Linked DNA regions of Anolis sagrei. The protein of the gene in region 1 binds, or shares a complex with, the protein of each later gene. Links are inferred from orthologs where the notes say so. Each region holds a gene or a part of one and is shown in the gene's direction. Other genes may lie near its edges. The genes, in order: PRPF6, SART1 and SNRNP40.

Region 1 (3,747 bases):
AAACCTTACAACAGCCCACTCATAGGGACTGTTGGAATCAAAAATGTAAAATGTAGGCACCAGATGGCGCTGTGAATGCTCACAATATGCTCAAACAGAGAGACATATTGTAACACTACCAATTTGGATAAAACTTCAGAATTATATATAAAACAACTGTACAGATTTGGTTCATTTAAACCATGTGGATATTCTGTGCGTATACCAGTACTCAATCTGGTGGAAACCAGAGCAGAGACTCCTAGAAATCCCAGATCTTTTGCTAAAGATTCCTCTGTATGTAGGGTTGAAGATATTCTTCATTTATTTCTATTCTTCAAAGCTGAGCTGGTGCAAAAGGCATTTTTAAATGTATAAACATAAATGAATTCCATGTTTAGACTCGGATTCCATTCCCATGATATTTTGTTATGTGTATGCAAGGATTCCAAAATCGGAACAAAACTCCAAATATGGCACATTCCATCTGAACATGAGGAAGAACTTCCTGAGAGCTGTTCAGAAGTGGAACTCTCTGCCCTGGAGTGTGGTGGAGGCTCCTTCTTTGGAAGCTTTTAAACAGAGGGTGGATGGCCATCTGTCAGGGGTGATTTGAATGCAATATTCCTGCTTCTTGGCAGGGGGTTGGACTGGATGGCCCATGAGGTCTCTTCCAACTCTTTGATTCTATGATTTCTGGACATGGGATGTTCAATGGTATCGTCATCACCATCATTTCTTACTTGCCTTTTCCAATGGATTGAGGTGGGCAACAATAACAGAATTAGGAAACCAAAGGACTAGGCCATTATTAGGCCTCTATACTTAGGTATGGGCCAACTTGGACCCTTCAGGTGTTTTGGACTCCAACTCCTACCATTCCTAATAGAATTGTGGGAGTTGGAGTCCAAAACACCTGAAGGGCCCAAGTTGGTCCATGCCTGGTCTAAATGCATGCCAAAAAGGAGAGAAAAAGTAGAATTGGGGAAAAACCCTGGTCCCAAATTGAGAAACTCCCAAACTCTGGATCTCCAAGTGTTTTCCTATTTTTGGACTTCATATCCCAGAATTCCTGGCCGTTGATCAACGCAGCTGAGGCTTCTGGGAAGTGAAGTCCATAATGGAATAGAGTCAAGACGGGCCTCTGTCTCCTCCAGACGCGCATGCGTAGTCGGTTTCCGTCCTTACTGCGCATGCGTGCCGCCTTCCTCCTCAGTCGTCGCCAAGATGGCCACCGCGGCTGCTTCTTCGTCGGCCTCTGGCGCCTCTTCCTCCTCCTCCTCCGGCCCGGGAGGCTCGAGCTCATCCGGGCCCGGGGGAAGCGGAGGGTCTGCATCCTCAGGCCTCACGGCCTCGCTGACAGGGACCATGAACAGGAAGAAGAAGCCTTTCCTGGGCATGCCTGCGCCGCTGGGCTACGTGCCGGGCCTAGGCCGCGGGTGAGCCGGGGGCTCGAGTTGGGAGTTGGGCGGCCAGCGAGGCCTCGGTTTCCCTTCCATTCTGTCTCTCTCTTTGGACTTGTATCTACACTGTGGAATGAATGCACTTTTGACACTACTTTGACTTGATTGCTAGGACTCATGTTGTTTCACAAGGCCTTTAGCCTTCTCTGCCAAAAAGTACCGAACTACAACTCCCAGGATTCTATAGCAGTTAACGTGGTGTCGAACTGCATTAATTCTACAGTGTAGTTGCAACCCAAGCAATTCCTGCTTCAGTAGAAAATTGCGCTTTTCTTTCCTTCTTCCTAAAATACTAATACTAATAAACTTTATTTATTGTTGTTGTTCATTCGTTCAGTCGTCTCCGACTCTTCGTGACCTCATGGACCAGCCCACGCCAGAGCTCCCTGTCGGCCGTCACCACCCCCAGCTCCTTCAAAGTCAGTCCAGTCACTTCAAGGATGCCATCCATCCATCTTGCCCTTGGTCGGCCCCTCTTCCTTTTTCCTTCCACTTTCCCCAGCATCATTCCCTTCTCCAGGCTTTGCTGTCTCCTCATGATGTGGCCAAAGTACTTCAGCTTTGTCTCTAGTATCCTTCCCTCCAGTGAGCAGTCGGGCTTTATTTTGGCCTTGCCCTGTGCAATTTCTGTGTTTACTGTCCGATTTTATACTGCTGTCTCGTTTATTATTTAGGTTTTGCATTTTATGTTTTTTTTAGTTCTGTTATGCCTTGTGTTATATTGGGTTATGCTTTTGTGTAATATTGTGTTTACTGTATTGATGGGTGTGGCCTCATGTAAGCTGCCCCGAGTCCCCCTGGGGGAGATGGAGCAGGGTATATTATTATTATTATTATTATTATTCCGGACCCAGCTTTCATACTATTACCGCCTTCTCTGTGGTTGCCTCCCGCCTCTGGAACTTCCTCCCTAAAAATATCAAAACAGCCCCCTACTTAAAATAATGTAAAAATACAGTAAATTAATAAATAGGAAAGGGTATAAATAATGTTTATTGTTATTAGTGGGATGGGCATACCAAGCCACCTTGTCTCTCTCCTGAGGAATTTGTACAAGGACCAAGTAGCAACAGTCAGAACTGACCACGGAACAACAGACTGGTTCAAGATTGGGAAAGGCGTACGGCAAGGCTGCATACTCTCACCCAACCTTTTAACTTGTATGCAGAACACATCATGTGAGGATGTGCAGGGCTTGATGAATGCAAGGCTGGGGTGAAAATTGCTGGAAGAAACATTAACAACCTCAGATATGCAGATGACACCACTCTGATGGCCGAAAGCGAGGAGGAGCTGAGGAGCCTTCTAATCAAGGTGAAAGAAGAAAGCGCAAAAGCTGGGTTGCAGCTAAACGTCAAAAAAACCAAGATCATGGCAACAAGAATGATTGACAACTGGAAAATAGAGGGAGAAAATGTGGAGGCCGTGACAGACTTTGTATTTCTAGGTGCAAAGATGACTGCAGATGCAGACTGTGGCCAGGAAATCAGAAGACGCTTCCTTCTTGGGAGGAGAGCAATGTCCAATCTCGATAAAATAGTAAAGAGTAGAGACATCACACTGGCAATAAAGATCCGCCTAGTCAAAGCCATGGTATTCCCTGTAGTCACCTATGAATGTGAGAGCTGGACCTTAGGGAAGGCTGAGTGAAGGAAGAGAGATGCTTTTGAGCTGTGGTGTTGGAGGAAAGTGCTGAGAGTGCCTTGGACTGCGAGAAGGATAAAAATTTTAAATTTTAAAACACTGGGAGATTGGGCAATGGAAATTGTTGGGGAGGGAGATCCAGATTGAGGAAGGAATTAATTGCACGAACCATAAAGTCCTTCTGAAGTCATTTGTACGAAATTTGGTCAGGGAGTATCTTACATTCAATCATTGAAGGCACGTTGGAATAACCAGGTTTTCAGATTCCTCCTGAAGATTGCCAGTGTGGGGGCTTGCCGAATGTCTCTGGGGAGTGAATTCCAGAGCCGGGGGGCTATCACAGAGAAGGCCCTTTCTCTCGTCTCCACAAGTCGCACTTGCGATGCAGGCGGGAGCGAGAGAAGAGCCTCTCTGGACGATCGAGCTTTACGCTCTTTCCACTTCGCTCCTTCAGGAGTGCTGTTTGCGCAACGCAGAACAGAACACAGATATTGTAGAAGGAATGTAACAATTCTTTAATGGCAAAACCTTAACCCAGAGGCTGGATAGTCATCTGTTAAGGGGTACTTTGTGCTTTTCCTGCATGGCAGGAAGTTGGACTTTATGCCCCATGTGATCTTGTGCAACTCTATGATTCTATCATTCTAGGTGTTTTGGACTT
Region 2 (3,747 bases), on another chromosome or scaffold:
GGGAGACCTTTCTAGGGATTTTCGCAACAGGCCGGAACCTTTCTTTTCCCCGGAAGTGAGTCTCATCAGGATTATTTTGGTGACGGACCGGAAGTGTGAGCCTATCAGGGGACTTTCGCAACAGACCGGAACCTTTCTTTCCCCGGAAGTGGGTCTCATCGGGATTATTTCGGTGACGGACCAGAAGTGAGAGCCTATCCGGGGATTTTCGCAACATACCGGAACCTTTCTTTCCCCCGGAAGTGGGTCTCATCGGGATTATTTCGGTGACGGACCAGAAGTGAGAGCCTATCCGGGGATTTTCGCAACATACCGGAACCTTTCTTTCCCCCGGAAGTGGGTCTCATCGGGATTATTTCGGTGACGGACCAGAAGTGTGAGCCTATCCGGGGATTTTCGCAACATACCGGAACCTTTCTTTCCCCCGGAAGTGGGTCTCATCGGGATTATTTCGGTGACGGACCAGAAGTGAGAGCCTATCCGGGGATTTTCGCAACATACCGGAACCTTTCTTTCCCCCGGAAGTGGGTCTCATCGGGATTATTTCGGTGACGGACCAGAAGTGAGAGCCTATCAGGGGACTTTCGCAACAGACCGGAACCTTTCTTTCCCCCGGAAGTGGGTCTCATCGGGATTATTTTGGCGACGGACCGGAAGTGTGAGCCTATCCGGGGATTTTCGCAACAGAGCAGAACCTTTTTTTCACCCGGAAGTGAGTCTTATCGGGATTATTTTGGTGCCTGGCCGGAAGTGTGAGCCTCCCCTCAGTGCAGAGTCAAGGAAGCGTCTCTGTGGAGCGGAAGCGCGGCCATTGTCCGCCGCGATGGGCTCCTCGAAGCGGCACCGGGAGCGGGGCGAGGCCCCTGAGGAGAATCCGCCTCCTTCCTCCGGGGCTCCGCCGGCCTCGTCTTCCTCCTCGTCGTCGTCCCGGCACCACCGGGAGCACAAGAAGCACAAGCACCGCAGCGGAGGGGGAGGCGGAAGCGGAGGAGGAGGAGGGAGCAGCGGCGCCGGGAGCAAGCGCAGCGGGAGCCGGGCCGAGCGGAGCCGACAGCGGGGAGGAGGCGGAGGAGGAGGAGAAGAAGGCCCGTCCTCGTCGTCCTCGCAGCGGAGGCAGGAGGGCGAGCGGAGGCCCAAGAGGGAGAAGCGCGGAGAGGCCCACGAGCAGGCCCCACAGGGAGCAAGTGAGGAATCATCATCATCATCATAACAATAATAACTAGCTGTCCCCGCCACGCATTGTTATGGTCAACCTTCCTTCCCTCTTTCCTTCCTTCCCTCCCTCTTTTTCTTTCCCTTCTTCTTTCTTCCTTCCCTACCTGTTTCTTTCCTCACTTCCTTTGCTCTTTGGTTCCATCCTTCCTTGTCTCTTTCCTTCCTTCCCTCCCTCTTTCTCTCTTTCATTCCTTCTCTCCTTCCTTCCCTCTCTCTTTCCTTCTTTCACTTTTTAATTCCTTCTCTCCTTCCTTCCTTCTCTACTTTTCTTTCCTTCCCCCCTCTTTTTCTTTCCCTTCTTCTTTCTTCCTTTTCTACACTTCTTTCTTTCCTTCATTTTCTCCTTCTCTCCTTCTCACTTCCTTTGCTCTTTGGTTCCATCCTTCCTTGTCTCTTTCCTTCCTTCCCTCCCTCTTTCTCTCTTTCATTCCTTCTCTCCTTCCTTCCTTCCCTCTCTCTTTCCTTCTTTCACTTTTTTAATTCCTTCTCTCCTTCCTTCTCTACTTTTCTTTCCTTCCCCCCTCTTTTTCTCTTTGTTCCTTCTCTCCTTCCCTCCCTCTTTTTCTTTCCCTTCTTCTTTCTTCCTTTTCTACACTTCTTTCTTTCCTTCATTTTCTCCTTCTCTCCTTCTCACTTCCTTTGCTCTTTGGTTCCATCCTTCCTTGTCTCTTTCCTTCCTTCCCTCCCTCTTTCTCTCCTTCCTTCCCCCCCTTTCCTTCTTTCACTTTTTTAAATACTTTCTTCCTTCTTTGCCTTTCTCTCCTTCTTTCTTTCTCTCCTTCCTTCCCTCCCTCTTTTTCTTTCCCTTCTTCTTTCTTCCTTCTCTACCTGTTTCTTTTCTCGCTTCCTTTGCTCTTTGGTTCCATCCCTCCTTGTCTCTTTCCTTCCTTCCTTCCCTCTTTCTTTCATTCCTTCTCTCCTTCCTTCCCTCTTTCACTTAGTTTATTCTCTCATTCCTTCCTTCTCTACCCTTCTTTCTTTCCTTCTTTCTCTCCTTCCCTCCTTCCTTCTCTTTCTTTCCTTCCTTCCCTCCTTCCCTCTTTCTTTCCCTCTTTCTGTCTCTCCTTCCTTCCCTACCCTTCTTTCCTTCCTTCTCTCCTTCCCTCCTCCTTTCCCTCTTTCTCTCCTTCCTTCCTTCTCTACCCTTCTTTCTTTCCTTCTTTCTCTCCTTCCCTTCTTCTCTCCCTCCTTTCTTCTCTTTCTTTCCTTCTTTCTCTCCTTCCCTTCTTCTCTCCCTCCTTTCTTCTCTTTCTTTCCTTCTTTCACTCCTTCCCTCTTTCTCTCCCTCCTTCTCTCCTTCCTTCCTTCTCTACCCTTCTTTCTTTCCTTAATTCTCTCCTTCCCTCCTCCTTTCCCTCTTTCTTTCCCTTCTTCTCTCCTTCCTTCCTTCTCTACACGTCTTTCTTTCCTTCTTTATCTCCTTCCCTCCTTTCCGTTCTTCTCTACCTCCTTCCTTCATTCTCTTTCTTTCCTTCATTCTCTCCTTCCCTTCTTCTTTCCCTTCTTCTCTCCCTCCTTCCTTCTTTTTCCTTCCTTCTTTCCCTCCTCCTCTCCTTTTTTCCTTCCTTCTCTACCCTTCTTTCTTTCCTTCCTTTTCTCCTTCCCTCCTTTCCCTTCTTCTCTCCCTCCTTCCCTCTCTTTCTATCCTTCTTTCCTTCCTTCCTTCTCTACCCTTCTTTCTCTCCTTCCTTCCTTCTGTACCCTTCTTTCTTTCCTTCTTTATCTCCACCCCTCCTCCTTTCCCTCCTCTCCTTTTTTCCTTCCTTCTCTACCCTTCTTTCTTTCCTTCTTTCTCTCCTTCCCTCCTTCCTTCTCCGCAGGAGGCCCAAGCGGGAGAAGCGCGGGAAGGCCCATGAGCAGGCCGCCCAGGGAGCCGGTGAGAGAGCAGGGGAAGCTCCAGGCGTCTCCCTTCTTGCCTCCTTCTTTCCTCCTCCCTGCTCTTTTTTTTCCTTCTTCTGCCCTTCCTTCTTTCTCCCCATTCTTCTTTTGTCCTTCTCCTCCTTCTCAATTTATTTATTTATGTATTTACTAGCTATCCCCTGCCAGGGCGTTGCTGTGGCCCAGTCTGGTGATCTGGAAAATCTATCTATATAAATAAAAATGTCATATTTATTTGTGGCATTAACGTAACTCAAAAACCACTGGACAAATTGACACCAAATTTGGACACAAGACACCTAACAACCCAATGTATGTCCTTCACACAATTTTTTTTGAAACTTTCATTTGGGAGTTGTAGTTGCTGAGATTTATAGTTCACCTACAATCAAAGAGCATTCTGAACCCCACAGACGATGGAATTGAGCCAAACTTGGCACACAGGACTTCCATGACAAACAGAAAATACTGGAAGGGTTTGGTTGGAATTGACCTTGAGTTTGGGAATTGTAGTTCACCTACATCTAGAGAGCACTGTGGACTCAAACAATGATGGATCTGGACCAAACTTGGCACAAGCACTCAATACACCCAAATATGAACACAGATGGAGTTTGGGGGAAATAGACTTTTGACATTTGGGAGTGGTAATCA
Region 3 (3,747 bases), on another chromosome or scaffold:
CCAAGGATTGCATTTTCCCAGCATGTGTCCCAAATCTGGGTATTTAAAAAGTTAAATAGGCCTTGCTATGTTCCCTAGAGCAGAGTTTCTCAAACTGCTCCTCCAGATGTTTTGGACTTCAGCTCCCACAATTTATAACAGCTGGCTGCAATTTCTGGGAGTCTGAAACACCTGGAGGAGCACAGTTTGATAAACACTGCCCTAGAGATCAAGGGGGCAAATTGACTTGGTTCCTATGAGTTTTTTGGGCTATATGACCATCGAGCTCATCACACTAGAGAATGAATCCACTTTAAATCTGGTTGCTACCTCTTGAAGAATTCTGGGGTTTGTAGCTTAAAGAAGAGCCTTGAACAGCTTCACTAAATTACAAGCCTCATAATTCTGCAGGAGGCAGAAACCAGATTTAAAGTGGATTCACTAGTGTGATGAAGTAGATGTTCCAGTTGCATTCCTTCCTGACGTTTCGCCTGCATCTGTGGCTGGCGTCTTCATAGGTCTACAGATGCAGGTGAAACGTCAGGAAATAATGCTACTGGAACATGACCATACAGCCCTAAAAACTCAAGCAACCCAGTGATTCAGGCCACGAAAGCCTTCAACAACACAAATGGACTATGTTTTAGGTTTCCCTGTATTTCCCCAGTCAAGGGCTTTTTAAAATCAGGTTTGCCAAAATTTGGGAAATGGGATTGGGGGGGGGGGTACAGAAAATGGGATTCAGAATGCCCATTGATTGTAGGTGAACTATAAGTCCCAGCAACTACAACTCCCAAATGTCAAGATTCTATTTTCCCCAAACTCTACCAGTGTTCACACTTGGGCATATTGAGTATTCATGTAGAGTTTGGTCCAGACCCATCATTGTTTGAGTCCACAGTGATCTCTGGATGTAGATGAACTACAACTCCAAAACCAAAGGACACTGCCCACGAAACTCTTCTAGTATTTTCTGTTGGTCATGGGAGAACTGTGTGCCAAGTTTGGTTCAATTCCCTCGTTGGTGGGGTTCACAATGCTCTTTGATTGTAGGTGAGCTATAAATCCCAGCAACTACAACTCCCAAATGACAAAATCAATTTTTTTGAGTGAAGGACATACATTGGGTTGTTAGGTGTCTTGTGTCCAAATTTGGTGTCAATTCGTCCAGTGGTTTTTATTTATATAGATTAATTAATTAATACTGAGGCTGGGTGGCCATCTGTCGGGGGAGCTTTGGTGGTGATTTTCTTGCATGAAGGCATGAGGGGGTTGGACTGGATTCGCCATGGGTTCTCTTCCAACCCAACTTCTTCGTAAGGCAAAGATGACTTGACGACAGTCAAAAACAACGAGAAGGCCCCCTCCCTGCCAGGGGATTACTTACTTCAGAGCCGTTTGACGCCTGTGGACGCTGTCCTCCGCCACTCAGCACGTCCGCCTTTCCGGAAACCCCAACAGAGGCGCTTTCTTCCTCCCAACCAATCGGCATACGGCGTACATAAGGGGTGGGCTCAGCCCCGTCCAATCGGGGTGCTCTATATTCCGAGAAGCTGCCGATTGGGTATGAGGCGACCAATGAGAAAGGAGGGAGCGCAGTCCTCTTTCGGGTAGGGTGTGAGGCCTGTTCTGTCTCTCCGCGGCTATGCTGGACCCGCAGAAACGGAAGGCGCCTACGGACTTGGCCTTGGTGGTGGCGGCGGCGAAGAAGCCCCGCCAAGACGCCGCCGGGGCTGGCCCTCCTTCGGGGCCCCCGGGCGCCCTGCTGCCCGCGGTGAGTGCACTGGCAGGCCGCAGGCCTCGGGCCTCGCCTCCCGGGTTAGACTCTACGGCAGAGGAAGTCGGCAGGCAGTGTCTTTTACCAGGCCTGGGCCAACTTGGGCCGTCTCTGCCTCCATTCAGTGTTTTGGACTGCAACTCCCACCGTTCCTCACAGCCGTAGGCCCCTTCCTTTTCCCTTTCCTTTTCCGCTTAAGCGGCCGAGGGGGAAAAGGAAAGGACCTGAAACTGCTAGGAATGGTGGGAGTTGGAGTCCAAAACACCTGGAGGGAAGGCCCATGTTGGCCCATAGATGGCATATACCCGGGTGGGTCAAAAAGTAATGCCTCCATGGCTCTAACTTTTATTTCTTTCCCAGCTACTGGACTGTCTATGCATGACATGATTGAGGTAACCTTACTCTACTGATTTAGTCTTTTCTTTTTTGGATTGACGGATTATTTATTTATTATTTAAACTTATATGCCGCCACTCCCCTGGGGCTCGGAGCGGCTTACAAGAATGGCTAAAATCTAACACAATTTAAAAGCAATTTAAAACAAATTAAAAACAGCAATATCAAACATTAAAAGCCTATCGAAACAGGTATGTCTTACATGCCCTGCGGAAAGCTGGGAAGTCCCGCAAGGCACGGACTTCAGGTGGCAGAGTGTTCCAGAGTGATGGTGCCACTGCTGTGAAGGCTCTGCGCCTGGTTGCTGTTAGACGCAAGGTCTTGACACTGGGAATTTCCAATAGATCTTGGTCCTCAGAACGGAGGGATCTCTGGGGTTGGAAGGGGGTGAGGCGGTCCCTCAGGTACATCGGCCCCAGACCATGCAAGGCCTTAAAGGTGAGTACCATCACTTTGAAAGTGATCCGGTGCTCAATGGGTAACCAATGCAGCTGCAGTAAGATTGGGGTTATGTGACATCTCATCGGAATTCCCGCAAGAAGCCGAGCAGCTGCATTTTGTACCAACTTGAGCTTCCGGATCACCGACAGAGGAAGGCCAATGTAGAGGGCATTACAGTAGTCCAGTCTTGAGATGACCGTGGCCTGGATCACCGTAGCTAGGTTGCCCCTGGACAGGTAGGGGGCCAGCCGTCTAGCCTGCCGCAGATGAAAAAAGGCAGTTCTGCTAACAGCTGAGACCTGGGCCTCCATCGTCAGCAGAGGGTCCAAAAGGACTCCCAGACTCTTTACCAATGATGATGGGCATAGCGCCTCGCCATCCAGGGTAGGCAGCTGGATATCCCCACTGCCTGGTTTACCCAGCCATAGGATCTCAGTCTTTGCTGGATTCACAACGTAAGAAAGGCCTTCTCAGAACCAGAGAAGGGATAAAGTAAACAGACAGTGGTCCCAATGACGCTTGAGCAACACTGGGTATATACACTAATACATCAAATAGAATAGAATAGCTTTATTTTAATCAGTTTTTAATTAGTTTTTCTTTTCTTTTTCTTTTAATCATTACATGTAGCCTGCCCATTGTCACTGTGATTGTGTTTACTGTAATTTTATATCGTTATGCATTCATATGTTTTATGTAATTATGATGTTGTTTATTGTTTTTGTTTTATTTTGCTGTAATTTGTTGTTTGGGCTTGGCCTCATGTAAGCCGTCCCGAGTCCCCATCAGGGAGATGGTGGCGAGGTTTTATTATATTATATTAATAAAGTTTATTATTATTATTATTATTATTATTATTATTATTTATTGTACTACTGCACAATGAAATTAAATGTCTTCTCCGACACACAACACAAAACACCCATCTCTCCACATTCTAATAGCTATGGCGCAGCCCTCAATGCCATATCAATGCGAAGCTGTGGGGTTCAACATAGCCAGAGCTATAGGATAAAACCTCTCAGTCTGTTTGAACTTGTCTTTGTCACCCTGTACCGTCTGCTAGATGGTAATAATTCTGTAGAATAATATGCTGGGTAAGATGGATCCCCAAGAATGCTCTGAGCTTTATTAAGGCAACGGGACCTATAAAG

What was found.
Region 2: PRPF6 (region 1) and SART1 share a complex: the UniProt entries of both Homo sapiens proteins name them as parts of the U4/U6-U5 tri-snRNP complex. The link is inferred for Anolis sagrei from reciprocal best matches to the Homo sapiens genes PRPF6 and SART1.
Region 3: PRPF6 (region 1) and SNRNP40 share a complex: the UniProt entries of both Homo sapiens proteins name them as parts of the U4/U6-U5 tri-snRNP complex. The link is inferred for Anolis sagrei from reciprocal best matches to the Homo sapiens genes PRPF6 and SNRNP40.

Annotation. Positions count from the first base shown.
Region 1 is NC_090024.1:237,895,728-237,899,474, reverse strand, and holds the start of PRPF6 (pre-mRNA-processing factor 6), read left to right. Parts: upstream 1-1,190; 5' UTR 1,191-1,206; coding exon 1,207-1,418; intron 1,419-3,747. UniProt on the Homo sapiens protein: Involved in pre-mRNA splicing as component of the U4/U6-U5 tri-snRNP complex, one of the building blocks of the spliceosome.
Region 2 is NC_090032.1:21,968,718-21,972,464, forward strand, and holds the start of SART1 (U4/U6.U5 tri-snRNP-associated protein 1), read left to right. Parts: upstream 1-769; 5' UTR 770-823; coding exon 824-1,184; intron 1,185-3,747. UniProt on the Homo sapiens protein: Plays a role in mRNA splicing as a component of the U4/U6-U5 tri-snRNP, one of the building blocks of the spliceosome. May also bind to DNA.
Region 3 is NC_090034.1:63,888,796-63,892,542, forward strand, and holds the start of SNRNP40 (U5 small nuclear ribonucleoprotein 40 kDa protein), read left to right. Parts: upstream 1-1,546; 5' UTR 1,547-1,624; coding exon 1,625-1,753; intron 1,754-3,747. UniProt on the Homo sapiens protein: Required for pre-mRNA splicing as component of the activated spliceosome. Component of the U5 small nuclear ribonucleoprotein (snRNP) complex and the U4/U6-U5 tri-snRNP complex, building blocks of the spliceosome.